Rattus norvegicus: one gene and its partners. The protein of the gene in region 1 interacts with the protein of each later gene in a pairwise test. Links are inferred from orthologs where the notes say so. Each region holds a gene or a part of one and is shown on either strand. Other genes may lie near its edges.

The links. The genes of interacting proteins can lie anywhere in the genome.
Region 2: the proteins of Lnx1 (region 1) and Rufy4 interact in binary tests that used the Homo sapiens proteins (3 or more experiments, as listed by UniProt). The two-hybrid records come from large-scale screens. The link is inferred for Rattus norvegicus from reciprocal best matches to the Homo sapiens genes LNX1 and RUFY4.
Region 3: the proteins of Lnx1 (region 1) and Gdi1 interact in binary tests that used the Homo sapiens proteins (3 or more experiments, as listed by UniProt). The two-hybrid records come from large-scale screens. The link is inferred for Rattus norvegicus from reciprocal best matches to the Homo sapiens genes LNX1 and GDI1.
Region 4: the proteins of Lnx1 (region 1) and Sat1 interact in binary tests that used the Homo sapiens proteins (3 or more experiments, as listed by UniProt). The link is inferred for Rattus norvegicus from reciprocal best matches to the Homo sapiens genes LNX1 and SAT1.

Annotation. Positions count from the first base shown.
Region 1 is NC_086032.1:33,953,782-33,960,554, reverse strand, and holds part of Lnx1 (E3 ubiquitin-protein ligase LNX), read right to left. Parts: intron 4,065-6,773; coding exon 3,930-4,064; intron 274-3,929; coding exon 105-273; intron 1-104.
Region 2 is NC_086027.1:83,148,782-83,156,022, reverse strand, and holds the start of Rufy4 (RUN and FYVE domain-containing protein 4), read right to left. Parts: upstream 3,885-7,241; 5' UTR 3,362-3,884; intron 3,327-3,361; exon of another isoform or gene 2,896-3,326; intron 1,584-2,895; exon of another isoform or gene 1,579-1,583; 5' UTR 1,499-1,578; coding exon 1,453-1,498; intron 1,357-1,452; coding exon 1,250-1,356; intron 12-1,249; coding exon 1-11. Other genes in the region: Tns1 (tensin-1), read left to right, coding at 4,109-4,264. UniProt on the Homo sapiens protein: ARL8 effector that promotes the coupling of endolysosomes to dynein-dynactin for retrograde transport along microtubules. Acts by binding both GTP-bound ARL8 and dynein-dynactin.
Region 3 is NC_086039.1:157,235,529-157,242,783, reverse strand, and holds the start of Gdi1 (rab GDP dissociation inhibitor alpha), read right to left. Parts: upstream 3,885-7,255; 5' UTR 3,761-3,884; coding exon 3,716-3,760; intron 2,548-3,715; coding exon 2,440-2,547; intron 2,281-2,439; coding exon 2,181-2,280; intron 2,044-2,180; coding exon 1,909-2,043; intron 1,498-1,908; coding exon 1,299-1,497; intron 1,045-1,298; coding exon 913-1,044; intron 1-912. Other genes in the region: Atp6ap1 (V-type proton ATPase subunit S1 precursor), read right to left, coding at 5,142-5,351, 5,565-5,793, 5,882-5,929, 6,607-6,845, 7,184-7,255. UniProt on the Homo sapiens protein: Regulates the GDP/GTP exchange reaction of most Rab proteins by inhibiting the dissociation of GDP from them, and the subsequent binding of GTP to them. Promotes the dissociation of GDP-bound Rab proteins from the membrane and inhibits their activation.
Region 4 is NC_086039.1:44,004,483-44,011,972, forward strand, and holds Sat1 (diamine acetyltransferase 1), read left to right. Parts: upstream 1-3,606; 5' UTR 3,607-3,898; coding exon 3,899-3,964; intron 3,965-4,232; coding exon 4,233-4,284; intron 4,285-4,388; coding exon 4,389-4,472; intron 4,473-4,620; exon of another isoform or gene 4,621-4,943; intron 4,944-5,903; coding exon 5,904-6,005; intron 6,006-6,095; coding exon 6,096-6,136; intron 6,137-6,365; coding exon 6,366-6,536; 3' UTR 6,537-6,890; downstream 6,891-7,490. UniProt on the Homo sapiens protein: Enzyme which catalyzes the acetylation of polyamines. Substrate specificity: norspermidine = spermidine >> spermine > N(1)-acetylspermine. This highly regulated enzyme allows a fine attenuation of the intracellular concentration of polyamines.

The sequences.
Region 1 (6,773 bases):
ACATGCTCTCCTTGACTCTGGGAGAGCAGTTAGCGAACCCAGCAGGCTGCTAACTCCGCCCAGGCTCTGCCACCCCATGCCTTTATTCTCTTTGATTTTTGTACCTGTTTTTATTCTTCCGTCTCTGCTTATGACTCCTCCGGGCTCAACACTGATGACATAGATGGGCAAGTCCCATTCTCTGTGTGATGCTCCCCCTCCAACGGTCATGCCGAGAGATTCGTTGGGGTCTTTTTGGACACTTACAACCTTCTCATGACAAGTGGCTGCAGGCTGAAGGCACAGACACAAAGAACATGGTGCATGCATTCACCAGGCCCATTTACTCACACATATCCGCGCACTCGCATCAAAAGAGTTATTAGCATCACGAATTCCAGCACCGCAGATACAGCATCGCAGATTCTAAGGGTTGACTCTGAGAGGTTTGCATTGCAGAACGGAATACTAAACACAGAAAGGCCACAGCCTGGGGACCGTGGTAGAAATCTGGATCGTATACATTTGGCTGCATCCCGAATCTCTCAAGGAAGCCACCCACTTCTGATTACAGTAGGCCAACTTCTCAGAACACTCACTGTCCCTGTCAGTACATCTTTCATATTTAAAAATCATATTTATTAGCGGAATGTGTGGAAGCTGAGAAGCACATGCTACAGCATGCATGTGACATGTAATTGTCAGAGGACAATTTACAAAAGCTGATTCTTTCACTCCACCGTGTGGGTCCCGGGGATCAAACACACTCTGGTAAGGCTTGACAGCCAAATACCTTTACCTACTGAGCAATTCTGCCAGCCCAGCAAGCTTCTCTAGGTTTACATTTTTTTCTGACGTAATGGACCTCATATAAACGCCAGCCATATAAAATGGTGGCTAATGTGTAATCCAGAGTTCGGGGATCCACAGAGAGAGAAGGCTGGTTAAGACTAGTCAAATACGCAAGCTTGGCTTAGGCGGGAAGCAATCTCAGTAAAGATGTAGAGAGCAACCAAGAAAGATACCCGGTGTCATGCTCTGGCATCTACATGCACACGCTCACACATGCGCATGCTGTCACGTATTTGTCAATGCCCATATGCACGTGCACGCAAACCATACAGAGGCACACATTGGGCCTATACGTTTTCCCCATTTTTGGTACTTTCCAAACCGCTGAACCAAGTGGCCGAGCACCAGGACTGCGCTTGGCCTGTGTCCCTGATGGCCGTTTGCCTTCCCCACCAGTGGGAGAGAGAACGTGAGAGAGAGACAGATGGTAGTGATGGAGAAACTCGAATCTCTGAGTTAATTCCTCATGCTGACTTGCTGGGTTTGGGGCAGGAGGAGGAACCTTTGGCGGACAAAACTCTTTCTGTCTGACCTGCTCACTCTACTTTAAAAAGCTGACTTATGGGTTGGGGATTTAGCTCAGTGGTAGAGCGCTTGCCTAGGAAGCGCAAGGCCCTGGGTTCGGTCCCCAGCTCCGAAAAAAAAAGAACCAAAAAAAAAAAAAAAGCTGACTTATGGTGAAATAGTTCATATTGATTAAACCATATGGGCACTTAAGTCTATGGAGCATTTATGTTTTAGAATGTTTACCCGGGATTTGGAAGAATAAGACATTCTAAACGTCTAAAAAGCATCAGGACCCTGTAGCTTGATAATCAGTGCCAGGGTTAGTAACTGTCTCTGTGACATGGAGCTGGTCAGATTCCCCTTCTTCTTTCATGATGGTGAACACAGGCCTAAAGATGGCGCCTGTTGGTACCTAACTCTTCACCGGGGTAGAAGCTTTCCTGTCCCACAAACTATGGCTTGCTTTCTTTGGTACTTCTTGGGAGCACTTAAACTCCTATTTTCAAACGCCACATTGTTTTCCTAAATCAGTTTAAAACGTAATCATCAACAGCCAGGTAGATCCCTTTATGGGTGTGGCAGGGGTGTGTAAGGGGCAGGTAGAAGTATGATTGGAAAGAACTTCGTTCCCGGTGGGCCAGCATGTTTCCTGGAATTCAGACACATGACACAAGGTTGTAACAAAGATCTCATTAGACCATCCTGGCTTCCCCATGGCTCATGGTAGGCAGGTAGAAGGAGTTACAGAGTCTCATTGGGGTTTCTGAGATAGCTTCATGGTTTCCAGCACTGACTGCTCTTCCAAAGGTCTTGAGTTCAATTCCCAGCAACCACATGGTGGCTCACAACCATCTGTAATGATATGTGATGCCCTCTTCTAGTGTGTGTGAAGACAGACACAGTACTCATATACATAAAATATATAGCCTTTCTGTGGTATAGGTCTCATTTCTATGTTTAATGAATGAAAATATAACACATTCTACTTAATACAGCTGGTTAGATACAAGCTTCAGGCAAGATTTTTAAAAAATCTCACATATATTTTGACATCAATGAATACTATCAGATAACTTTAAAACACTAACAGTATTTATTATTGGGTAGAAAGTATCAGGGAGTCCTTGTGCATAAAACTTTTTAGCAGGGTACACTTAGCTTATCTAGATTGCTTCCCATACAAAAACATGGAACTCGAGGATTTATCTAGATGCCATTGGCTGGAGATTTTGAATGAAGGTGATCACAGGCTCCTGATTATAAAGCAGAGATGTTTTCTGCAATTATTACTCAAAAAGACCCTCAACCTTTGGCCCGATATGGAAAGAAAAATATGTTCATTCATTCCATCATCTCCGTTTTGGAAACAGGCTACATATAAAGGCGTTAGGTTGTATCCAAACATCGATTTATATCTTTATGGGCATGGCTGTTTTGCCTACTACATGTATGTACACCACCAGGTGTGTGCAGTGCCCTTAGAGACAGAAGAGAGCATCAGATTCCCCGGAAGTAGCGTCATAGAGAGTTGTGAGCTGCTGTGTGGGTGCTGGGAACAACTGGGGGGGTCCTTTGCAAGAGGAACAAGTGGTCAAAACGATTGAACCCCGTTCCAGCCCTGCTTATCTTTAGTAACAAGTACCACGATGACACAAGCTACCAGAAAGAGGAAGCTGTCCATCTTCGTGACAGAGCCAAGGTCAGAGGACTTGATCTGGACTGGACAATGTGTTGATAAGACACCATCAAAATGAACTGCATACTTGCATCTCATAGAAGCCACAGACAAGAACGTACTGGACTGCATCTCCTGGGGCCACTGAGATGGCTCAGTGGGCAAAAGAGCTTGTCACCAAGCCTGCTGATCTTAGTTTAAGCCCTGGGACCAACATGGTGGGAGGGAGGAAGAGAACCAATTGCCACGAGTTATCCTCTGACCTCTACACATACACCATAGCACATGTGTGTCTACGTGTACATGTGTGTATACCTCGCCCTACAAAATAAATGAATAATTTAATATTTTTTTTAATTTCTGGATTTAAATGATGTAAGATAAGACATGTGCTCCTGCCTTGTCTGAGGCCCCGCTCCCCTTAATGCTCCATGCTCTTCAAGTATGACCAGTGTCTTCCTTGTCTTTCGTACAAACACAAACATTAAAAATAGCAGGGGGCGGGGAATAGCAAGGGAATCAGAGTTTCCAGGCAGGTTGGGAAACTCAAAAACCACGAAATCAAGCAAACTGCTTGCCGCCTTTGAAAGCGAATGGAAAACAGTCCTTATGAGGAAGGATTCTTGGTCAAAAGTAGGACATGCATTTGGCTTACACTAGAAAGCAGGTCCCTTAGAAGGCTTGCAAGCTGGGATCTAACACTCCCCCAGCACCTTCCTCCTCACTCCTGCTTGGACGGGAGACACCTGTCACCTTCCAAGTATGAAGACAGGACTTTGGCCTTCTAGTTTCAGGAGTAGTGTTTCTTGAAACGACAAAGTCCAGAGACAGCCCTTAGACACATTAGAGTATACGGCTTTCCCAAGAAATAGCCCCTCACAGGAAGGAGCTGCCGACACGCCTGGCTGGCCCTCACCTTAGAAGATGTGCTCCTCTCCCCTGAGACAGGAGACTGCTGGCCGTTGCTGATGCAGCCAGCTTCTTGAAAGATGTCTGGGCTGGGCTGTCGAACCTGGCGGGACACGACGAGGTGAACACGTCTTTCACTGGCCTGGACAAGAGGACATTCAATTAGCCATGTGCACATGGCCCTACCAGGAGAGCACTTTCGTTTTGATTTTTATTGAATGGAATTAAAGTTTCTAAATTTCTTTTCTTATGAAATGCTGGAGACTCAGCCCCAGGGCTTTTGTGTATGCATCGTCTACCCCCGACCCTCTAGATTTTTTCTTTTTTTTAAAATTGTGGTCCAAGCTGAAAGGACATACTTTTAAAAGATTTGTTTTTAATTATGCATATGTGTGCATGTATGTGGGTATGCGCATGGGAATGCAGGTGTCCTCAGAGGCCAGCAGGGGGGATTGGATTTCCCTGAAGCTGGTGCACAGGTAGTTGTGAGCCACAGGGTGTGGGGGCTGGGAACTGAACTCAGGTCCTCTGCAAAAACAGTGTGCACGCTTAGTCACTGAACCATCACTCCAGGCCAGAAAACTCTAGATTTTTTTATGTCAGTGTCCAGCTTGCACTTCAGCAGAAAGGCCTGACTCAGGCAAGTCTTTGAAGACACACCATTCGATCTTGTTAATGTATGTTTAATGACAAGGTCAGCTGCAGGCTGAAAGGCTTTCTGAATAGAGCAAGGTGCATGGTGTGAAGCAGTCCACACCACGTGGCAGTTCCAGATAAAAGGGCAGCGGTGAAGAAAGAGAAGCAAGGTAAGAGGCAGCGACTGTGACACTGGGGAAACGGAAATGCCGTGACTACCGCTGACTCAGATCCTTCTGCACACAGGTACTGGGCAGAAGATTTGGAGGAACAAAGGTATCGCTTACTGCAAGGGTTCCTAACACGTGGTAAATCGCTGATTAGCTTTCTGCCATGGGTCACTTTCCTGTATCTCTGACTGCAAGTGTCAACCTAGACGTGCCAACCCCCAAGGCATCAGATTTGCGGGGAGGATAGGCAAGACCCTAGGGCTGCAGATCTCAAAGAAACAACGTTGATTCCCCAAACTGAAATGGCACATGGATCCTCCATTACTTCAGTGAGAAATGCAACAAGAGGCATGGTTAGAAAGGCACCTGGGGGAAGATGAAGAAATGTAAGGTCTGGTAGTTCCTCCCCTCCTTCTAGTTCTTGACCACTCACCACAGCAGAGACAGACACTGATACGCACACACTTGCCTTCATGCGTAGCGTTAAAGGGCCTTGGAGAAATCGGGTCACAACAGAGGGCCCGTACTGTGTATCTCCATTAGCTTAGACAGTGGGCACTGAGATGTTTGCCTTTTGCTGGCTATGGTTTGAATGTATGTGTTCCTCATGTGTGGAAATCCTAACCCCCAAGGCAATGGTTTGAATGTATGTGTCCCTCATGTGGAAATCCTAACCCCCATGGCGATGGTATTACCAGGCAGGTCTTTGACTTGGTCCCCATGAATGGGATCGGTGCCCTTACAACAGAGCTTGCCCCTTTCAGCACGAGAGGATACAAGAAGATACCACATATAAGAGAGTCATTTGGGGATGGAGCTGTTCATTCCATGCTCAATCAGAAAATGCTACTGAACGGCCCAACAAAGGAAGCTTGAGCTCTGCCTGCTTTCCTTTGTGCACAGCCCTAACTCACTGAGTCAGTGCTTACGTGTTCTTCCTTCGCTAGCCTATCCAGAATTCCTTGGGTTACCACATCTGAGGCTTGCATTAGAACAGCTCGGGTAACCCATCAAGAAGAAAGCTGACACAGAGCTCTGGACCTGGCCAACAGTTCCGTTTCTGGAAGAGAGTGTTGTAATAATGTATCTTTTCCTCTGGATTGCAAGTCTCACTTACCCTACGAGGTTATCTTCAAGAACTCTCTGAAGTAAAACTCGTGGGAAGATAAGTAGCAATAAAGAATCAGGTCAAAACCTCAATCACTGAGCCCAGTTTGCTCTCTTATCTTGGAGGGAAACTCCGCACTGTTGAGAAGGCTGTTGGCAGTGCTTTTGCTCTGGGCTGGAATTGTATCCTGCTTGTCTTGGCCAGTGAGCAGAGCATGTTCTGAGCAACACCTTATAAGAAATATAAACGCTGGAGAATCCCACATGGCTCAACTCACCAGGCAAAGTCCAAATTGCCAAGGAGCAGAGTTCACGAGCTGTTTGCTTCACGTTTTTTAGCACAGATTTCTCATCGGGCTTTCAAATGCTGGCTCGAGAATGAAGCGTTGGCAGGATCGGCACCCCGATCAATAACATGGGTATCAATTTCCTCGCAAATAAATTCTCTGCAGGGTTGGATCTGGGGCTCTTACCAGCCACCTCGTGAATTGTTCACAGGAAGGCCATTCCGTGCACTTTCTTTCCTAGCCCTCAAGATATGAAGTAGGCTAATGTGTTTGTCCTGGCGCTAACTCTCAGGAGCAGCTGCAGGCAGACTTGAGAAACAGGCCCAGGCACTAGGGTCTTTCTCTCCACGGGTGTGACTGTGCTATGTGAAAGGGGAGACACAGCAGAGGCACAGAAAGGGTGAAAGCAGTGCTCCTTGATTTCACACCTACGGATATGCAGGACATCGTGCACAGCAAAGTTGGTGTTTTAATGGCAAATGGTGGCTAAGAGGGCAATGGTAACTACAGGCAGAGCATAAGTTGACAGAGAACCTGTACATAACAGTGCAAGCCTCTCTCCCAGCCAGGGAACTCCCCTAATTGTAAGGGAAGTTGAATACACCATTTGTGCTGTTTTGGGGACATGAACACGGACAAATACGTGTGTAT
Region 2 (7,241 bases), on another chromosome or scaffold:
TTCTGGTCAAACTAGGACCAAGATGAGAGAAAGGAACATATGTCAGTGGCTCCTTCTGGAACCTACCTAGCACCCTGGCATGCTGGGAAGGCACATGGTAGAAGAAAGGGCTCCTGAAGACAGGCCTTTTTGTTGAGGGAATCTTCCTCTGCCCTCCCTGGCTGTGTGATAGGGACATGATACTTGATCTCTCTGAGCCTGAATTCACACTCACTCATTCACAGACACTGAGCACTTTACTATGGACTGGCCCTGACCTAAGGCCCGTGAATGATGACCAAGGCCTGCAGAGGATAAAGGAGTTAAATTCTCAAAGCAGACAGAGTGTTAGATAGTGGGATGGTTTGTATATGCTTGGCCCAGGGAGTGGCACTATTAGAGGGTATGGCCCTGTTCGAGTAGGTGTGGCTTTTTATGGAGTAGGCAGGACACTGTGGGTGTGGGCTTAAGACCCTCATTCTAGCTGCTGGAAGCCAGTAGTCTCATGCCAACCTTCGGATGAAGATGTAGAACTCTCAGCTTTTCCTACACCATGCCTGCCTGGACACTGCCATGCTCCCACCTTGATGATAATGAATCCTCTGAACCTGTAAGCCAGCCCCAATTAAAATGTTGTCCTTATAAGAGTTGCCTTGGTCATGGTGTCCGTCCACAACAGCAAAACCCCAACTAACATAGTGATGGTGGCTGTGGAGGGAAAAAGAAAGAGAGAGAGAGAGAGAGAGAGAGAGAGAGAGAGAGAGAGAAGAAGGAAGAGGAGGAGGAGGAGGAAGAGGAAGAGGAAGAGGAAGAGGAAGAGGAGGAAGGGGGATGTCTGAAATTTTAGCCTGAGGAAGTCTCCAGACTTGAGGGCCATGTGCACTGATGTCATACAAATATCTAGGGAATAGCATTCCGGATAGAGGCAACGACAGATAAATGCCCTGAGACAGGTGCAATCCTGATGTGCTATGGGAGGTGGAGACAGTGTGGTAAGAAGTGCAGCTCCCTGTCAGGAAGTCAGAGGAGGGAGAGGAGGCATATTTATGTTTATATATCAAGTCTTTCAGGAGGTAAACATGAGAAAACAATGAAAACCAGTCCTAGCTTCTGGGAGAAAGTTATGTCATGAAGGACTTGCTCACTGAGAAAGCAGACTGTGCCTGGGAAGGGAGGAAGACAGTGGCTTGGGCGTACAACTGGAGAAGCTTTCTAGGGTATTGAACGGGAAGGAGTTGGCAGGGTGGAGAGGGAGGGTGGAGGGTCTCACCTGCAGGAGCAGCTCCAGGCAGCCACAGAGTCTGTGTAGCTCGGCACTTGTGTCTGTCACTGGCCCCTGCCCGTCCCCATATCCCTGGAGGATGGCAGAGACAGCATCTGGGAGGAGGATGGTAGAGAGCCATGAGGGAGCCAGGCCTGAGGAGAAACCCCTCCTACAGCTTAGCCACAGAAAAACCTCCCAGGGCAGCTCACTTTTCAAGTTCCTGCTGATCTTGAGGATGGTTTCCTTTTCTGCCATGGAGACTTGAAAGTAAGGTGACCTCCTGTGATTCTCTGGGCTCGGCTGCTTGCTTTCCTTACATACAGATGGGTGAGGGTCTAGACTTGAGAGAGAACGAGAGCATACCAGGGTCACACAATGAGTTAACTGGAGGAATGAAGTACAATTCTTTTCTTTTCGTTTCTTTTCTTATAGTTTACTGAGTATACTGCAAGGAATCCCAGTTATTTTTTCTTTTTTCTTTCTCTGTGTGTCTCTCCCTCTCCCTTCCCTCGGTCTCTGTTTCTTTCTACCTCTTTTTCTCTCTGTGTGTCTCTGTCTCTGTCTTTCCCTCTCTCCCCATCTCTCTCTCCCTCTGTCTCTATCTCTGTCTCTGTTTCTCTCTGCCTGTCTCTCTTTCTCTGTATCTCTGTCTCTCTCTGTGTCTCTCTCTCTGAGACAGGGTTTCTCTGTGTAGCCCTGGTTGTCCTGGAACTTTGGTCTAGAGACCAGGCTGGCCTCTGCCTCCGAGTGCTGACATTAAAGGCATGCTCCACCACCACCCAGCTGCCAGTTATGTCTTGAAGACTGATGTATAAAGATGTGAATGTGGCCTCCACTTATCGAGCCATTGCTGGTTTTGGTCACCCTGACCATTGCTGACATTTTTGTCTCATTCAATCCCCTTAGTAGCCTCCAGTACAGTGTTGACACACAGTGACTGGGCACAGAAAGGGTAAATCTCAATCCAGTATCACAAAGCTGTAAGCTGAACTCAGATTTCCTTAGGAGTCGGAGAGATGCCTGTGCCATGGGGACACCCAGCTGGGGAACGTCACCTCCTTTCCCCTTGGCCAGCCCATGAGCCTCAGCAGAGTGTCATTGCCTTGGGACCCACATTCATCCTTTCCAGAGCCCCAGCTGAGTGGAAAAATGTATGTTCCCCGGGAAAGCAGGCAGAAGTAGACAGAGGGTGCAGTGTAGGAACTGAACCCAATGTTGGCTGTGGGGAGTGGGGTACCTGGTTTTAACCCACCACCCTCTCTTGTAGGACTCTACTTCTGTCTCCGAAGGGTCCTTGGACTCAGAGAGGGATACTGTTGTCCTTGAGGGATGATGAACTTAGGCTGAGATCCTGTCATCAAGGCCAGGCCAGGGGTCCAGCCTCCCAGGCAGGAGTGATGGAGTTTGTGGGTGGGGTAGCTACCCTCTAATAGTGGATCACGGACGAAAGAAAGGAAAAAGAAAGGCAAGGAGAGCAGTGTGTGAAACCAGGACTGGGGGGGGGTCAGAAGACAAGGGTCTCATCCTGGACTGGTCACCCTTTCTTAGGCTCCACTTTCCTCATCTATAGATCAAGGATTAGACAGTTCTCTACCGACATTTCCTCAGGGTTCCTCTACCCGATCCCCAAGCCCAGGGACTACCGTGCTCACCTGGGAAAAGCCTGTCTGGTTGGGATGTGGGCAGGAGGATTCTGTTGCCTGAATATGTCCCTTGTGACTGTGGGCTCTGCAGTCTTTCCCAGTTCTCCTGCCTGGGGAGTGACTCAGGCCCAGCCTGGAGGGGGCTGGACTAGTCTTGGCCAGGGAGAAGTAGTAGAGAAAGATCGAGGGCACAGAGGCAGAATGAGCGGCTCCTTCAAGCTCATCTGGCATAAGGCCAGTTGGTGTCTCAAACACAAACGCAACAAGGATAGGGGCTTCCTTTCCCTGGCACCTGCTCTTGTCTTTCTGTCTTGTTGCCAGTAGATGGCGGAGAGAGGCTGACTGAAACGCTAGGGGGCTCGGTTTTCTTTTTTGTTTTTCCCCCTCGAGTTGTCTCTTCTGTCATTGGACTGGAAGTGGCACAGGTGGGGAGAGAAGGCAAATGGCCACCAAGTATCTTTCTTCTTCCTCTTACCCCAGCCAGCAGCGGGATCCCGGCCAGTGTCGGGGTACCTTCCTTCCAGTCCTGGTACCCACTTCCCCGGGATGGAAACCTCAGGTGGGCTGCTCGGTGTAGGGTGGCCTCTTTCGCTGACTTCACTCAGCTTTCTGGTGCTGGGGTCATCCTTTTTCTATGCCAGTCTGACATGGGGCGGTTGGTCCTGGTGACTGGAAACCAAGGGTTAGGGACTTCAGAGCTACTTTCATGAGTTCGAGGAACTACCTGTAAGCAGGGAACAGAGCGATCCCCAAACCTGCTGTTCTCTGCTCCACGTCCCGCCCTTCTTCCCAGTGCAGAGCCGGATCTACCCCTGGGCCCCCCTTGTCCTCCGTGCCATCGTTTCTGTCCCTTCAGATCTCTTCTCTGGTGTCAGTCTCTCAGTCATTCACTAGTCACGGCGTTGCTCTCTTTCACGCGCTCCCAGCTCAGCCAGTCTCGGGGATTCCGCCACAGCCCCTCCCGGGTTCCCGCGCCCTCGGGTCCCCTCCCTACAGACTGCCTCCAGCGTCCGTGTCACCGCCCCTGGCCGGGCCCCCGCACTCCCACTGCCTGGCGGAGCGGTAGCGGAGGCGGAGGCGGACTCCCGACGGGGCGGGCCGGGGGCGTTGCCCTTCTCCCCACGTCGCAGACGCCTGGGGCCGAGAGGTCGCTGGGGCTGGGGGTGGGCCGGTTCGTTGGTAGTCCGCGTCCCCGCCCCGGGCCCGCCGGGTGCCGGGCCGGATGGGCTGCACCGTGAGCCTGGTGTGCTGCGAGGCGCTCGAGCCTCTGCCTTCTTGTGGCCCGCAGCCCCCCGGGACTCCGCCGGGCCCCGCGCGGCCCGAGCGCTCTGAGCCCGGGGGTGCGGCATCCATCCAGAGGAGGAGGCTGCTGCTTCAGGTAGGGAGCTGCGGGCCGGGTGCGGGCAGCAGACACAGCAGAGCCCGATCCACCTGGGACAGTAAGGAGTCTGGGAAGGTGTAGGCAGGAGAGTGGGAGGGCCCTGCAGTCAGTTCCATGGAGGTCACACCTGGGCCTCTGGTGTCCTTGAAGGGCAAGACGTTGGTGGCAGGTCTGTGATCCACTGCTACCGAAATTGAAGCAGGAGGATTATAAGTCAAGGCCAGCATAGTGAGATCGTTTCTCAAGCAAACTAAAACCAATCCAAACCCCAAACTCAAACTCCCACAAACACCAAAACCAATAAAACAAAAAAGCCTAAACAAGCAAGGGGAGAGAGAGAGAGAGAGAGAGAGAGAGAGAGAGAGAGAGAGAGAGAGAGAGAGAGAGAGACAGAGACAGAGACAGAGAGAGACAGAGAGAGACAGAGACAGAGAGAGACAGAGAGAGAGAGAGAGAGAGAGAGAGAGAGAGAGAGAGAGAGAGAGAAGCAAGTGGCAGAGAGGGGGAAGCAGCAGGCAATTAGTGAGAAATTGGAACCACCCAAAAGTTCTAGGGTGAGGAGGGAAAAGTTAGTATCCTCTTACTTGGGGTAGGGAGGCAGCAGGGTCTGAGGAGGTGGGTGGGTCCATTAGAGTCCCTCTCCTCTCTCCTATTGTTTTCTGGGTGAGTCCTGGAACCTGGATGTTGAAAAGCGACCAGGAGCAAAAAGTGTTGACCAGGAAAGCAGGCTGGCTGGACACCCCAGGCTTTGCATAGGCTCCGTGGTTTCCTGGGGGGGGGGCGACAGTGTTTTGTATCAGCAGGGACTGGCCAGTTCTAGTCCATCCCCGGGAGAACCCTAGTCTCCTTCTCCACTGGGACAGGGGGAGCAGCCGTATGGGATTGTTTACTGACTTTGTTCTGGGCGAAACTGGGACCCTTCAGTTCTTTCTCCACTGGAGGCCAGCAGAGTTAGTGTTGACTCCAAACGCATCCTGCCACCACATCCCAGCACCTCCGTGTGGACAGACAATATGGCAATGTGTGCTTATGCACATGTTTTTGTGAGTGTGTTGAGTGTCGGCGACGCCCCTCTGCACCACTTGACTGGCTGTCCCTCTAGGGTGCAGATGATAGCATAGTTGTGGTTATATGCCATAGGCACAGGCATAGGGTTGGGAACTTGAAAATGAAATGCCCTATCCAGCAAGGTAGCAAGCAGGCAGTGACTGGTCACAATGAAGGATATATCTGGGGACAGATTCTTATCTCTGTCTTAAAGTGGCTAGTGTCCTAGCTAGATTCTCATGGAGCCTGGGGGAGGACTCAGGGAGCCTGGAAGTAAGAATTGGGTATCCCAGTTACTGGTGATGGGCACAGAACTGGGGTGACATGATAGAGCTCTTAGACTTCCTGTTCCTCTAGAGTCATTAAGATATCCTTTCTCAAACCCCACCCCGGCTCAGAGCCTCTCTCTCCTCTACTTTGCAAGATGTCCAGGGTTGATGAGGAGGCAATAGCCCTCCCTATCTCAAATCCCAGCTTACCCCTTAGAGGGTGAGTCTGAGCTGCTTGGGGGATGGGGATTCGAGTAGAGAACCCTGGGAGGCATCTCACTGTACTCCACTGTACCTTGATGCTCCTGTCTTCTGCTTGTCAGAGCTCTCCAGGCTGACCATCCACTTCCTTGTTTCATTCTGCTGCTCTTCAGACATGGCCCCAACCCTTCTCTGGTCTCCATGGGCTCAGAACTCTTACTCCCTCCCATTCTCCCTGCAGCCAGCTTTGACATGGTGGGGGGATGCCCACTGGTCATGTGATGGTCGGCAGGGATGGATAATTGGGGCTGAGATCTGAGAGAGAAAGCAGGGGCACTGGAGGTGGGTGAGTCAGGGGAGGAGGGGGAGGGATTTGTATGTACCCTGTGTGACAGCGACAGGGACAGGGATGTTTATTCAGGGACAAGTGTCTGTCTGCATTTGGATGAGCTTGTTTTCCAGGGGCCTCTTGGGAGAGCTTGCTGTGACTCATCCCCTCCCTTATCTGCATGGATAAGGCTCCATCTCAGCCATGTGCCCAGGTCCTGGATCAAGCAGGGGCTGCTGGGCTGGCTGCTCTTTCTTGCTTACCCAGCACCCCACTCACAGGCAACTCTCAGGAGACTATGCAGCCCAGGAAAGAGCAGCCTCTGCCTATCACCGGGAGCCCTTGCTGGAGGAGGTGTGATACTCACGTTCTTGTTCTGGATAAACATCTCTTGGGCTCTCACCCTCCCAGGAACCCAGTTCAGAAGCCACCAGGCATCTGGGCTGGCAGCCAGGGCCCTCCTACTGCCACAGACACGTGCCAGCCGCCATTCCTGCCTAGCCCATCCCATGGGCCAACTTCTTGCCCCAAGGCTGGTTGGGCTCATGTCCCTGACTCCCTTTTCAGCCTTGCTATTCTCCTGCTATCGATGCCCCCTTTGCCCTCTGTGGTACCCCTGTCTCTTTTGCAGGTTACCTTCCTCATTCTGCTGAGAGGCCCCCCCCTCTTCCCACCCCTACCCATTCTGTCTCTACAGCCATCACTACACTGGCAGGCCTGAATCTGAGACCTGATCCTCCTCCCTGTTTGGAGGGTGATGCCTGCTCTAGCTTTGCACTACCTGAGCTTGGACCCCACACACCCCTCAGTTAGCTTTTTTTTTTAAGTATTAATGTTTTTAAAAGTTTTATTTTGTGTGTGTGTGTGTGTGTGTGTGTGTGTGTGTGTGTGTGTGTGTGCGCGCGCGCACGCGAATATGCCATGGTACATGTGTGAAAGTCAGAGGACAGCCTGTGGGAGTCACTTCTCTCCTTCTGCCATGTAGGTCCCTAGGATCAAACTCACAGCATCCAGCTTGGCAGTAAGTCCCTTCCCCAGCTGAGCCATGTCATGTCCTCAGCTGGTTTCTTTGGCCCTCACGGTTTGTGCATACTGAGCCCTCCCGAGGCTTCTGTGGGGGCCTGAAGAG
Region 3 (7,255 bases), on another chromosome or scaffold:
ACCAATTCTACTGTACCCTCCTCACCCCACCAGTGGGGTAGAGAACACAGGTATACAGAGTTTAACTCCAACTGTTTCAGGTGTCCCTCCCATAAACTTAGGGCCCATACTGACATATTCCTTCCTCTCTGGTGTTTCTGTACATATTGTTCTGCAAAGGGTCAACAGAAGGTAGCATGAAGAAGTAGCTCCACATAGAAACAGCCCAGGAGGGGTTGGGGATTAGGCTCAGTGGTAGAGCGCTTGCCTAGGAAGCGCAAGGCCCTGGGTTCGGTCCCCAGCCCCGAAAAAAAAAACAAAAACAAAAAAACAAAACAAAACAAAACAAAAACAAACCAAGAAACAGCCTAGGAGTCAAGAATAAAGAACTCTCTGTAAGAGATTCAAACTCCAGGGAAGCCCAGACACAAGGTTCCGGGGTCCTAGACTTAGTCCTGGTACTACCAAGAGCTGGGGGAAGCTATGTTCATGGTGACCTACTTCTTTACTTTGTATTTCCACCTACTTTTAAAATTATATATATATATACACACACACACATACACACATGTGTGTGTTTTGTTTACGTGTATATCTGTACACCACATGCATGCCTGGTGCTTATGAAGGCCAGATGAAGGTTATGAATTCCCTAAAACTGGAATTATAGATGGTTGTGAACTACCATGTATATTGGTATTGGAATTGAACCCGGGTCCTTGGTGTAAACAAGTGCTCTTATCTGCTGAGCCATCTCTCCAACCTCTACTCTGCACTTTAATGCACTAGGGCTATGCCCCCATTACCCAGGGATACAGTAATATACATGAAAATTAGATGGGAAAGTAGGAGATGCCACAAAAATATTCAAGGTAATTTCCATTCTTGGCCTTGTCTTACCAGTAATGCTAGCTGAAAAAGACAGATCCTCACCTGGCAAAGCCCTGAGGCAGCTCACCCAGGCCATAGAGTGGGTACAAATATGGGCTCTTGCCATACCGGGCCAGGGACTCACTGTACAACTTGATGCGGTTAATAGTCTCAAGACATGGCTGATCCAGGTAACTACGGAAAAAGAACCAGGGAATATGCTTTGATAGCAGCACCCTTGTTCATTTACAAAGACACCAGCCAGCCTTCCCACCACCCTTTGTGACCTGGCAAAGATGTGGGTCAAATGGAGAGGGATGGAAATGGAACAGGTGAGCCTGGAGCTGAGTACAAGTGACATGCAGGATGGGCAGTAGGTACAATAGGCAGGTGTGGAGAGGGTGTGAGCCAGACAAGGGGCTCCCATCACCAGCCAGCTTTCCCCTCACTCATCAGTGCGGTAGAGCGCCAGGGCATGGCCAGTGAAATCAATGACATCTTGGCCCAGGTCAAACTTCCGGTAGACATCACGCATGCTGGTGGTCTGCGGGTCAACACCCTCAAAGGTTTTGGGGTCATTCTCATCAAAGTTTGCCACAAACACCAAAAATTTTCGGAAGCGTCGTTTTTCAAACATGCCCATCAGATCTGAAAGAAAGGTATTGAAAAGATCATTTGCATTACTCGGACATAGAGCTCCTCTTTCTAACAGAGCAGGCCAGGAAAATTGGTGCCTTGGCTCCCACCAGAACTCTCTTATGCAACACTGCTCCACCTTTCTTGGTCTCAATTTTCCTATTTGTAGGAAGAGACCCTCCCAGCTCCACTTAGGGCAAGTAGGCCCTTTGACAAAAAAGAATCCTCTTCTGTGAACTTCCTTTCTGGCAACTTGCCAAGATTGGTAGCACTGTCCAATAAAGAAACTATAAAGCAAGGGGCCTCTAGGACTACACGGAGCTAAGATTAGGTTTATGCAAAGAGGAGCCTTTTGCCCAACTGTCCTGAAAACAGTTTGTCCCCTCCAGCCCCATTCTTCTGCTTAAGGAGACTCATACTCACTAGAAGCCAAGGCCTCAGTCTCAGTAGATGGCACTTTGTAGATCTTGCCCCCTTTGTATACAAAGCTGCCCTCTACCACCTTGAAGTCCAGATAACGAGTCACTTCTGTATACAGTAGCATCTTTACCAGCTGACCTGTGTCCAAAGGGAGTAAGGGTGTGTTTTCCTTCAAAAAACTCTCAGTAGTGTGACTGATCATATTCTGGAGATTGAACACCCCATACCCCATCTTCCTACTCACCACCCCCATCGCCCTTTTTAATCTCCCTCACCATTGGCCATGAGGAATTTGGGGATCAAGTCAACATTCCAGTCTCGGCCCCGGCCCATTGATTCAGGGGGCCCTTCCAGCAACTGAAAGCGCTTATATAGCTGTAAGCAGGACAGGAAAGAAAGACAAATGTCAAGGACTAGCTTCCCTTCCCCACTCTCCTGCCTGGGACCTGAGAACTACTTCCCCCCTTTACACCTATGTGGGGGACTAACAAGGGGTCTGGGTCTAAGCCCAAGTCTGAGAATAAGAAATCTTACCTCCTCAAGGGGTGTGATAGAAGAGCTCTCACCCCCATAGTAGGGGTTTCGGTCCATGTGCAACACCTTCTTTCCATTCACAGACATGATGCCAGACAGGATGCATTCCTGGGGAAAGAGTGGCATTGGCAGCTATACCTCATCTACCCTCCAATGAGCATCTCTGATTTGTCCCTGCCTCATGCCCACTACAAAATTCATAATGCAAAGTCCTACCTCTTTCCAGTGCCTAAAACTGGGGAGGGGAAGATAGCTTCATATGATGTTTCCTTTATAACCCTGCTGAGTAAACTACTAGAGCATTAAAGGAGGCTTGGGGGACAGAGCTTACAGTTCTTCTAGCATCAACAAGCCAAAAGTATCTACCTGCTCTGAGCTCACAAAAAGACAAGACAATGAGTCTACAGAAGAAACAATTCAAAGGCTCTTTGAAAGATAAGGCCAAGTCCTTGAAATCCCAGGCTCCACCCTGCTCCTCCTTTTAAGGGCAGGAGCCCCTGACTCTCTTCTGGCTGTGCATCCACTGCTCTAGGCTCAGGGTTCAAACGAAAAAAGATTTGTGCGGGGGGGGGGGGGGGCGACGGGGACACCGGACACTCTCACCAGTCACTGTCACTAACCCAAGGACAAAGGCTGAGGATATATATTCACTCTGAGGTCTCCATGGGAAACCGAATTGGGGTAGAGGGAAAGCGGTCACTAACACCCCCTCCCTACACACCACACACACACACACACACACACACACACACACACACACACTCCCTCCCTCCCTCCCTCCCGCTGTTTCTGGAACATTCCATGGGTTCCCTATCCCTCCCAAAAGGCAGAGAGGCAGGATGAGGGCCCACCCTTGAAAAGCCCCCATATCTTTATCTTCATACTCCATGCCCTAGTGTGATCACAAGATGGTAAAAGATGCTAATCAATTACTTGAGCAGGTGATGAGTGCAGGCGAAGGGTGGGGTTGGATGCAACGGGTCCAGTGTGTGTGAGGGGGGTGAGTTTTCCACCTCAGTGACACAGATAGGGAAGGTGAGGGGTCCGTGGTTAAGATCTAGGGTGCTGGAATACTGGCCAAAGTGGGGCCCTCTACGAAGAATTGCGAACTGGCATCAACACTCTAGGATGAGGTAGTGGGGTGGGCATGGGCTTTTCCAGGGCTGGAGGCAGGAACGCAATGATGGGAGGATGGGTCGGGTAACCCGGACTCTGCATCACTGCGGGGTGGGGGATGGCATGATGCAGGGCTACGAGCGCCTGAGGTGGCACTTACGGTAAGACCTGTCCCCAGCACAATCACATCGTATTCCTCATCCATGGTCAGGCCTTGGTACCAGCGCCCGCTCTTCTTCTCCTCCTCCTCCTTCACCACAGCAGCTGCTACCAATGCCTCTACTGTTGCTGTTGCTGCTGCTGCTGCTGCTGCTGCCGCTGCCGCTGCCGCCGCACTGACCCAAAGATGGCGTCTATCGGTCGTCTCCCGATCCCTACGCAGCGTCAATGAGTCCCTCTCCCTCCTCTGGCCAAGCCACGCCCAACCAAAGCCACCATTTCCTCGCTTGTTTTCTAGGAGGGGTTCTGGCACCTGGGTCCCAGCACCAGAATGATTGCAGGGGTTAACGCGGCTCTCCGTGAGCCCAGAGAAATACGGGGCGGGGCAGGCCGGCGGCAGGTGCTACGTCTAGCGAAGGATCCTTGCGCGGGAGCTGCGCGCGCCCCGCCCCGCCCCGCGCGCTCCCGTACCGCCCCTGGGAGAAACAGAAAGGCATGGAAGCCCTGCAGTGTGTTGTTGCAGCTGGCCCTAGCGCTGGGAGAGCTGCCATTGTCAGGATTCCTCCCATGGCGAGGAAAAGTAACAAGCCTCTTCTCCGGCTTGTTAAGAGTATCGGCTTACTGAAGACCCTCCCACCCTTCCTCTCTCATTTCTTGCCTGACAGGACTACATCTGAGCAGTTCTTCCCTTCAGTCAAGAACAAATCTACTTGTCCAGTGTAGAAATAAGTGGCTGGAGCCCAACACATGGCAACACGTCTTTATTTTATTAGGAATGAAACAACAGAGCACACCCCCCCCACACACACACACACATACTTCTGGCTTCTTGACAGGCAATCCTTGTGAGAACAAACCAGAAACCCAATGAGTACACTTTGTTCTCCAGTTCTCGTGGTGATTTCTTCCTTCTCAGGTCACAGAAATAAACCCCAGTGTACCGCTCATTCTTAACCCCCACCCGCCAAAAAAAAAAAAAAACCCATAAAGGCTAAGCTGGACAGTTAACTAGCCTTTCCACACCTCTCAAATTCAAGGGACCTCAAGTTCATGGCTATTGCTGGAAAGCTCCATAAAGCTTGGGGAGTGAGTATTTACTACACAAAAGCACTATAAACAGCACGAAATAATAGCAGAGGGGCAAGAATAAATAAGGAGAAAGGGAAAGGGGGGCACCCTAGAATTAAGGTCCCTTCCCCTCTTGATGAAGCCTGGAAGATTTATCTATGAAGAATAATACACTTTGTTGGTAGAAGTGGGGGATAGCCTCAGGGAAGTCCCTGTCCAGGAAAGAGGAAGCAAGACAGGCTGAGGGTGGTGTATGTAGGGTTCATGCTATAGTAGGAAGAGGACAAACCTTTCCATCCACTGTGTCACAAAATGGAAACCTAGACACCAATACTCCCTCAATCCCTCTCTGGTATATGTCACACAATCTGGGTCAAAGTGATGGTGGGGCCCTTGTGGTCATCAAAGCGATCCATGGTCTTTAGGCTGAGTATCATGTGCAGACCATAGGTGAATATGAAAAGCATGAAGAGGGTGGTGAGCAGCCCCATCCAGATGCCCGGAGAGAAGAAGCCAGCACAGTCGCTAGCATAGGAGAACTGTTCACCAGTCACATTGAAGGCTTGGATCTAGGAGATACATAGACATGGATCAGATGGGACCACAAGGTTCTACAAACAGTTCAGTGCTGGGATTCTGGAATTAATGAATAGTTATACCTTCAGAGACTATACAAGGATGGAACTCTCTCGGCTACATGCTCAAACCATGCAGAGATTCTCTGGGCCCTTTTTCCCGCCCCTTATTGCCACCAGCTTGGGGGCCCATCACCCTTTCAATACCTGGAAGTTATGAAGAGTCATCTGCCAGAGGGAGGGCACGTTGGTCACAAGGAGACTGCCTTTCTTGCTCAGACTGCTGACGTACTCACAGTGGAAAGAATAGATACTAGGTCCTGTGACTTGGGAAACATTGAAATGGGCAACCGAGCCATTGCTGTGGATTTCAAGTCGTTCCATGGTAAACCAATATCGGGCAGATACTGGGTAGAAGCGACTAGCCAGAATGAACCTGGGAGGTGGGGGTTGCAGAGATGTCAGATGAACAAAATAGAGTGAAGACATACCAGCCCAGCCAAACTTCAGCCAACAGAACTTACTTGAATGTCACTGTTGCACCAAAGAGTGGTTCATAGGTCAGTGAAAGCCTATGGGACAAGGCACAGGAGTACTGTCAGGCTCTAGAAGAACCTTAAGAAGATCCTGATCAGGTTGGCTCCAACCTAAGCAACCCTAGATCCATCCTTATAGCCAGCCAGCTGTCAATACAGTGTCCCCATTTACCATATGGGAAAACTAAGGCTCCAGTCATAACCAAATTAGGAGCAGCTGGAGCACAATTAGGTCTTACATCTCCAGCTTAGGATTCCTTACTCTGGTTTTCCTGAGTCCTGTAGGCCTCCTTCTTGGGATCATTTAGCTGCCAGCTGAGATTTCAAGGGTAGAAGACCTAGAACTGGTTTTAACAGTTGGTCTGGTATTTGCCTACATGCAGTCCAAGGGGTTGGGTTCAAAGAAGGGCCAGGGTCCCAAAGGATTGTGTGGTGTTCAGGACCCAACAACCAAGACATAAAAGCATGAGAAAGCCAAACTCCTAAGAGGATCCCTCTCCAGTAACATCCCAGCAACATCACCTGGGATACTGTGATATCCATCTCCTTGGTGAACACACCACACAAAGACCTTTCTCACCCCAAACATATATACCTATATACCTACACACACACACACACACACACACACATCCATCCCACATCCTTGTCCTGTACTGGGCTCACAGTAGCAGGAAAACCATATATGACAGGATAACCTTTTTTTCCCTTACATGGCAAAGGAGTCATTCCAGAAGGAGCCGGTCAAGTTAAGATTCTCCACACCAAAGGTGAGGGAGGTCAAGTCTTTCCATTCGTCTTTGTATGCCACAGAGAAGTTTTGTGCCCAAAACAGGATCCTTGGGGCAGTGTCATTGTAACTCACAGGAGGATGGATCGCAGGTGATGCCACCTGAGTCTGAAGCAGCTGGCGACCTAGACCCCCAGCCACCATGGCTACATCACGGGCCACCTGCAGAAACATTCAACAAGCCTTCTCTCAACAGCCCTAAAAACAAAACCTAATCCACTGGATTGGTATTCCTTCCACACTGGGTACCCTGTATACCATCTGAAAGTCCCTAGCCCTGATATTCCATCTCCCTAAACTAATAATCACACTGTCCAAGTGGCATAAACAAATTGGAAAAAAGACACTATGGATGGAGGAAGCAATCCTCTGTCCATTAATCCCCCAAACTGGAGGCTCCTGAGAGATCCTGTCTATGGCATACCCCTCCATCGCCAGTCACACTCACCACAATGCCTCTCACCCCTATCCCCCAGGGCCACCACTAGAAGAATACATACTCTAGAAGGGCGGACTGCAGTAAGAGCCGCGGTGTAAGGAACATCTTCAGACTCAAGTGTGCTCAGTACCTG
Region 4 (7,490 bases), on another chromosome or scaffold:
GTAGATCCTCCAAAATGTTAACATTTCAACCACTATATGGTGAAACTGAGATTGTCTCTTCAAGAGGCTTTCCTGGCTTATGAATGGTCATGTTAGGTAAGATCATATGCTAAGAAATACAGGCACTCTCTAGAAACTCTAGGCAGCTTGTAAGAGCCTCACCTGATAGACAGCAAGAAGTCAGGGCCTGCAATCAAGAAATGCATACTGCCTGGCCTGGAGAGATGGTACAGCACTTAATACATAGTACTTGCTGCTCTTGCAAAAAACCGGAGCTCTGTTCCCAGATCCCACATCAGGTAGGACACAACCACCTGAAACTCTAGCTCTGGAGCTATGTTCCCAAACTTCCTAATGCTTTTACACTTCAATAAAGTTCCTAATGCTGTTGTGACCCAAAATCATAAAATTATTTCATTGCTACTTCATGACTGTAAATATCTGATATGCGGGGTTGGGGATTTAGCTCAGTGGTAGAGCGCTTGCCTAGCAAGCGCAAGGCCCTGGGTTAGGTCCCCAGCTCCAAAAAAAAGAAAAAAAAATCTGATATGCTACTCCAAGTGGGCAACGACCCACAGATTGAGAAATACTGCTCTAGGTTATCTAATGACTTCTTCTTGCTTTCTCAGGCACCTGCATTCACACTCACAAGCATGCATGCGCGCACACATATGCACATATATACAGGCATACCTCTACTTACAAAATAAATCTGTTTAACACAGAGATGATGCAGGGCAGTGGTAGTACACGCCTTTAAGCAGAGCATTTGTGAAGCAGAGGCAGAGGACAAGGAAGAGGCAGGAGAATCTCTGTGAGTTGGAGGCCAGCCTGGTGTACAGGCTGAATTACAGGGCAGCCAAGCCTACACAGAGAAACCTCATCTCACAAAAACAGGGGGTGGGGGGGAGGGAGGGAGTGACAGATGGAGGGAGGATTACTGTCAAGGTCAGTAATTTGAATGAACTTGGATATGTTCTATGTCAGAATATAGCCTACCTGACACAATTAACAAAAGATTCAGTGAAGCCATGCCTGGACTCATGACCCATATATTCTGCAATAATAAATATGTGTTATTTTAAACAACTGAGTGTGTGGTAACTTTCTGTGAGGTGACTTTCTAGGATGTAACCGATAAACAATACAAAAGGAATGACATAGAGCAACCTGTTTTCAAATAACTGACTTCTGGTACATCTGGTGACATGGTCTACATGAAATATCATAAAAATCTTTGGGGCACTGAACTTTGTGTAACCATGAAACAAGGCAAAGAATAAAACCACTACTTTGGCTATTTTTCTTCCTTTCACTCTCCTCATCTGTTCATCTCAGTGATTGGAATTCCCCTTTTCATAGAGTCAAATACACTATAATAAACTACAAACACATCTCTAAAAGTAAACTGTACACTTTAAGGCTGGTTGTAACACTTAGTGACCTTTTATAATCCCCAAATACCTCACATAAGATTGAACAAGTTGAAATGGTGACTCATTAACCAAATAAAAGTTTGTCAAATGCTAGGTTCAATCACGATTCTAAAACACTAAGAAACCTAAATAGAAAAATGACTTTAGTTTTGCTTCTTTGGGAAGTTATTCTTGGTGTTGAGTCACAGAAATCGAATATATTGCTATCAGTAAATATGTGACAAACTCCTGTGAGTGCTCTAGCATTCTAAACAGAAGAAATGAAGGGAAGGGCCTGGTCACCCATGTCAGGAAAGACACCACTGGCAGTAACTCAGGTAGAATTGGTACTATTTTTAAAGCTCTTTGTGAAAAAACATTGCATAAGTTCTCATAGTGACTCACTAAGGCATTGAGTCATGGGAGAGTAGGAGGGGTAACAGAAAATGCTTTTCTGCTTTCATTTCTACATACAGGATATTACTAGTTAATAAAGGCCAAGTCACTTACTAAATATTAGGAGTGGCTATGTGGTAGTAGTCCAACCCCTCACTGTACAGACCGGATGCTGAAGACTATCTGATACTTTATCTCATTACAAAAAAAAAAATAACTCTTCTGACTGATTATAGAATCCAGGAAAGGCAATGGAAGCAGGGCACTCAAAGGATCTGTCCAGGAAAGTCCATAGTTAAAGAAAGGTCCTTCCCCAGAGATATGAATACTTACTTTTCCAATGGGTATGACCAGGAACAGGCAAACCCAAATGCTTCCAAATATTTTGATCTCTGGGCATCTAAAAGTTAGTGTATTCAAGTTTCCTTATCTTTAAAAATGGTAGAAAACATAACACAGAGCCACACATCCCTGTAATCATTGGAGTAATGTTATCATGACACGTTCAGTTCGTTTAGAATTATTTCGAAATAAAAAGTTAAAGGAAACAAAAGACGCACATGGACTGGAGCAAGTAAGTGCCACCACAGCTTCTGATAACAAAGGAAGCCAGGAAATAGTCAGATATCAGTGTGCGGAAAGAAAACTTCCAAACCTCAAAATCTCAAAATCTATAAGCAGTGAAATAAACCTTTCAATAATGTAAGATGACATACATCATTGAAGGGAATGATCAAGTATTTCTCTCCTTCAGAAGGAAAGTCGACAGGGAAGAACAGAGTTTTAAGAAGGAAATGAAGGGGAGCTAAGAAAGTAAACATTGCCAGGTGGTTGGGGTCAGAGGCAGGAGGATCTCTGAGTTACAGGCCAGTTTGGTGTAGAGTTACAAGACAGATGAGTCTACACAGAGAAACCCTGTTTCAAAAAATAAACACATAAATGAAAGAAAGAAAGGAAGGAGGGAAGGAAGAAAACATTTTAAATCTAGCCATCGAAACACTGGTTCTCAACCTTCCTAATACTTCAATCATTTAATATAGTTTCTCCTGTTGTGGTGACCCTCCACCATAATATTATTTCATTTCTACTTTATAACTGTAATTTTGCTGTTGTTATATTGTTATGAATTGTAATGTAAATATCTGATATATAGGCTATCTGATATGGGACTCCAAAGGGGTTGTGACCCACAGGTCGAGAACCACTGAACTAGAAGGAAAGCAATCAAGGACCTTTCTGACCTTAGAAAATACAAGAAGGCTGTGGTGAACATTTTTAATTCTAGCACTGGGCAGACTGAGGCAAGCAGATCTACGTGATTTGTGAATTCTAGGACAGCCTGTTGAAACATAGTGAGTTCCAGGATGGCCAAGACTACACAAAGAGACCCTGTCTCAAAATCCAAACAAGATTCAAACCCACACCTTTCTTTAGTCATGAAAACGGTGACATCACTACATCTCAATGAACTGCCTGTGGAAAATTACAAGAGGGGAAAGGAAAATTATGCCTCCAGACCACACTTTGGGAATGGCTGCTCTTATCTTTCTGTCATACCCTAAAGTTGGGCTTCCTGAGTTTGCTTTTCTCAATGTCGGGGTCACAGAGGCAATCCACATTTTCTATTTATGAAGGTTACTAGGGGACAAGCTGGCATTCAAATGCTTCCGGGAAGGGTCCGCAAGGCGCCGCTAGAGAACTCGAGGCTAAACAAGGCAGCAGCGCACATCGCCCTAACCCGCCCTCCAGGTTTGCGTCATGGTGTCACGAGAAAGCCCAGAAGAGGGCGGTGTCTGGAACAGAGGGCGGTGCTTCCTCAGGCTTGCATCTTTACTGGTCGAGATCTCTATGTCTCTTAGTCCGGGGAGGAGCTTCTGCATACTTAAAAGGCACTGTCTTGCCACTGTAGCTGCGCAGCTCCCCAGAGTAAGTCTGCCAGTTTTCTGTCTTCTACTGAGGTTCGCCGGGTCATGGTGCCAGCCTGACTGAGAAGAGGACGCTCCCGGGAAACGAATGAGGAACCACCTCCTCCTGCTGTTCAAGTACAGGGGCCTGGTGCGCAAAGGGAAGAAAAGCAAAAGACGAAAATGGCTAAATTTAAGATCCGTCCAGCCACTGCCTCTGACTGCAGTGACATCCTGCGACTGATCAAGGTAGGGAAAAGTCCGAGATCTCCCTAGGGCAGAGGATAGGGGAGGCTCCGTTTCCCGGGGAAATCCTCATCTTCAGTTTTGAGACGCTGCCAGACCAGTAAATTCCCCTTTCTTGGCCTGCTAACCCCAGCCCGGGTCAGACTCAGCAGTGCGGCGCCAGGCAGAACTCAGTCACCGCTCGACCCCGCCTGCCCCATTTCCCCTCCTGTGAGCTGGCCAGGTTGGCCAGGAGTTTCATTGTCCTTTCTTTTATATGTGTCGTCCCCAGGAACTGGCTAAATATGAATACATGGAAGATCAAGTAGTTTTAACTGAGAAAGGTAACAAAGGCGTGGCGGGGGAGAAGGGAGGGGGGACAAGGTATCTGTTTCCCCGCATCTCCAAAGGTCAACTCAACACAGTTTCTGCCTCCCCCATCTTACAGATCTCTTAGAGGATGGTTTTGGAGAGCACCCCTTCTACCACTGCCTGGTTGCAGAAGTGCCTAAAGAGCACTGGACCCCTGAAGGTAACCCCTTCTCCCTGTCCAGAAGCCAGAGAGAACTAATGCTGTATCAAAACCATAGAGCCTACTTTGCAGAACCCGTGACTACATGGGCAGAGGTTACTGAGGAGCTGGCTGGAAATAACAGCCAGCCAGTATGCAAATGACTGAGGGAAAAAATGTATGTAGTGTACTTTATAATAGGGCGGGTTACAAGAGCTGTTTGCGCAAGTATCAGAGTGCTGTAGAAACCCGGAAAAATTAGGTATAATGTCATTTGTTGTAATTCCGTTTCATAAAATGGTTTTTGTTTGACCCTAACCTAACCTCTTTTTTGTAATTGTGTTAAATCACATTTTTTTCTTTAATTTGTCCCAATCTTCAGGTTACAGTCTCTAGCTTCGCCATGTACATGGCCCTTCTGTGTACATGGATGGGCGGGGAGGTAACTAAAAGATCCTTTACACAATAAAGTAGATGATCATGATAAATGAGGTAAGGTCCTATTATCACACACTTAAAACACGGTAGATCAGAAATTTATATTCGCTTCCTGTCTGTCTGCAAAGAAATAGAAAATGCCTAGAAAGTTTAATTTGCAACCATTGCCTTTAATTTGAAATCTTTGCCTCCATTTGGAATTGAATTGACACTCCTTATGAGGGAGTCTGTTTTTAATTATTTTTATTTTTATTTATGTATTTACTTTTTTTGCTGGCCCTTGTTGACTGGTCAGAAGACGGCTAAAAGGGGAAGTTGTGGGTGGGTGCTTTCTTGAGTCTTCTGGTGTCTGTTCCTTAGGCTAGAAGATAATCAGAACACATGAGGCATGAGATAAGATTTAGAAGTATGTGGGTGTTAGGTAACACCTGTTTCTGGTTACTGCTATTTCTCCTGCCTTAAAGATTGGGGGAAGTAAATTGAAAATTCATACGTGGGAGGGCAAGTTCTGAAAGTAAACATTGTACTTTTGGCCTGGTATTCTGACCTTAAGGAAGCAAGCGTTGGTGAACTAAAAGTATTTCCTCTTCTAAACTGCTGTGTAAACCCAACTTTTGCCAAGCCAACATACCAGCATGTCATTAGGATGTGAATAATATGTGTGTTTAGTTTAAGTCTGTGGCCCTTTTGCTCTGGCACGTAATGAAAATGTTCTCATTTCCTGAGTGTGAGTTCAGCAGACTGGAGACTAGCCAGTCAACAGGTGTAGCCTAGCTTTAGCTATCTCTAATGTGTGCTTTTTGCAAGTACATGTCTGAGACCAGAGAGATCATTCATCGTTCATCTGGACTGTACTAACATAAACATAAGGAGGCAGTCCAGTTCCTGGCTACTTGTTGCAGTGGTGAATGCATATCTATTTTCTTAAAAATCTACAATAGGCTTCTGATTCTGCCGATACAGCTTGAATGGGTTGTTTTTCTTCTTGCATCTCATGGGATCCTCTTATTACAGGACACAGCATTGTTGGTTTTGCCATGTACTATTTTACCTATGACCCATGGATTGGCAAGTTACTGTATCTTGAAGACTTCTTTGTGATGAGTGATTACCGAGGTACAGTTGACTTTGGGGATTAGAGGAAAAGAGGAATCAGAGCCCTATGGCCTTAAAATGACTAAGTTGACTTGTATTTCTTTCTTTTAGGCTTTGGTATAGGATCAGAAATTTTGAAGAATCTAAGCCAGGTATGTTCACCAGCTTTTCACTGCATAGCCTAGTATTCCTTATGAGCCTTGGCTGGCCTCAAGCTTGTCTTCACCTACCGTGCTGGGATTAGAGCTGGGACCAGATATCCTAGATTTGGGCTTCTGAATTTGTAAGAGTTATTGGGCTATTGTAATTAATGAATCAAATTTGGGTCTTGGCAAGAGGGTGAAATGTTACTGGGCTTATGTTCTCTCTTGCTTGTACTAGGTTGCTATGAAGTGTCGCTGCAGCAGTATGCACTTCTTGGTAGCAGAGTGGAATGAACCATCTATCAACTTCTACAAAAGAAGAGGTGCTTCGGATCTGTCCAGTGAAGAGGGATGGAGACTATTCAAGATTGACAAAGAATACTTGCTAAAAATGGCAGCAGAGGAGTGAGGTGTGCCGGTATAGACAATGACCACCTCCATTGTGCTTTAGAATAAATTCTCAACTTCCCTTGCTTTCTATCTCGTTTGTAGTGAAATAATAGAGTGAGCATCCATTCCAAAGCTTTATTACCAGTGGCGTTGTTGCATGTTTGAAATTCGGTCTGTTTAAAATGGCAGTCATGTATGTGGTTTGGAGGCAGAATTCTTGAACATCTTTTGATGAAGAACAAGGTGGTATCATCTTTATATATGAAAAACAAAACTTCATTCTTGTGAGTCATTTAAATGTGTACAATGTACACACTGGTACTTAGAGTTTCTGTTTTGATTCTTTTTTAAAAAAATAAACTACTCTTTGATTTGAATATTCAGTGTGAGCATTTTTACTAGTTCTGTCTTCCTCATTACTTTTACAACAAAAATAATATGTAAAATAAAAATACCTATCCAACAGTTCTCAGGTGCAGGTAAACATGAATAGGAGAGGTTGCCTGGTGTTTGGAGTACCCCAGGTTTCATCCATAGCACCAAAGGGTTCGGGGATGACTTGGGAAGGAAGGAATGAAACTGGTACATACAATGAATAAGTCAATTGTGCAAGTAAAATGTGAAGGTCGGTTTATGAAACACTAACAATCAGGAAAAACATCATGTCCCCAATGACCTCATCCCACACAAAATATCCCTTGAAGTAAAACTAAGTGGGTCATTCTGCTAATCAAGAGGAAGCAAAACTCTTGGTTTTTAACAAGATTGCAACTTTAAAAAGTGACAAACAAGCAACTTTGTCACGAGCAAATCCAGTGACTTCACATGTATCTGGTGAGATACTGTTTTAAACTAATGTCCTTCTATAGGACACAATACTAGTCTTTCAACTAGAAATACATAAGCAAATACTTTTCTCAGGAACTGAAAATGAGCCTTTAAATGCGAAGGGAAAAGACAATTTTCTTAGATC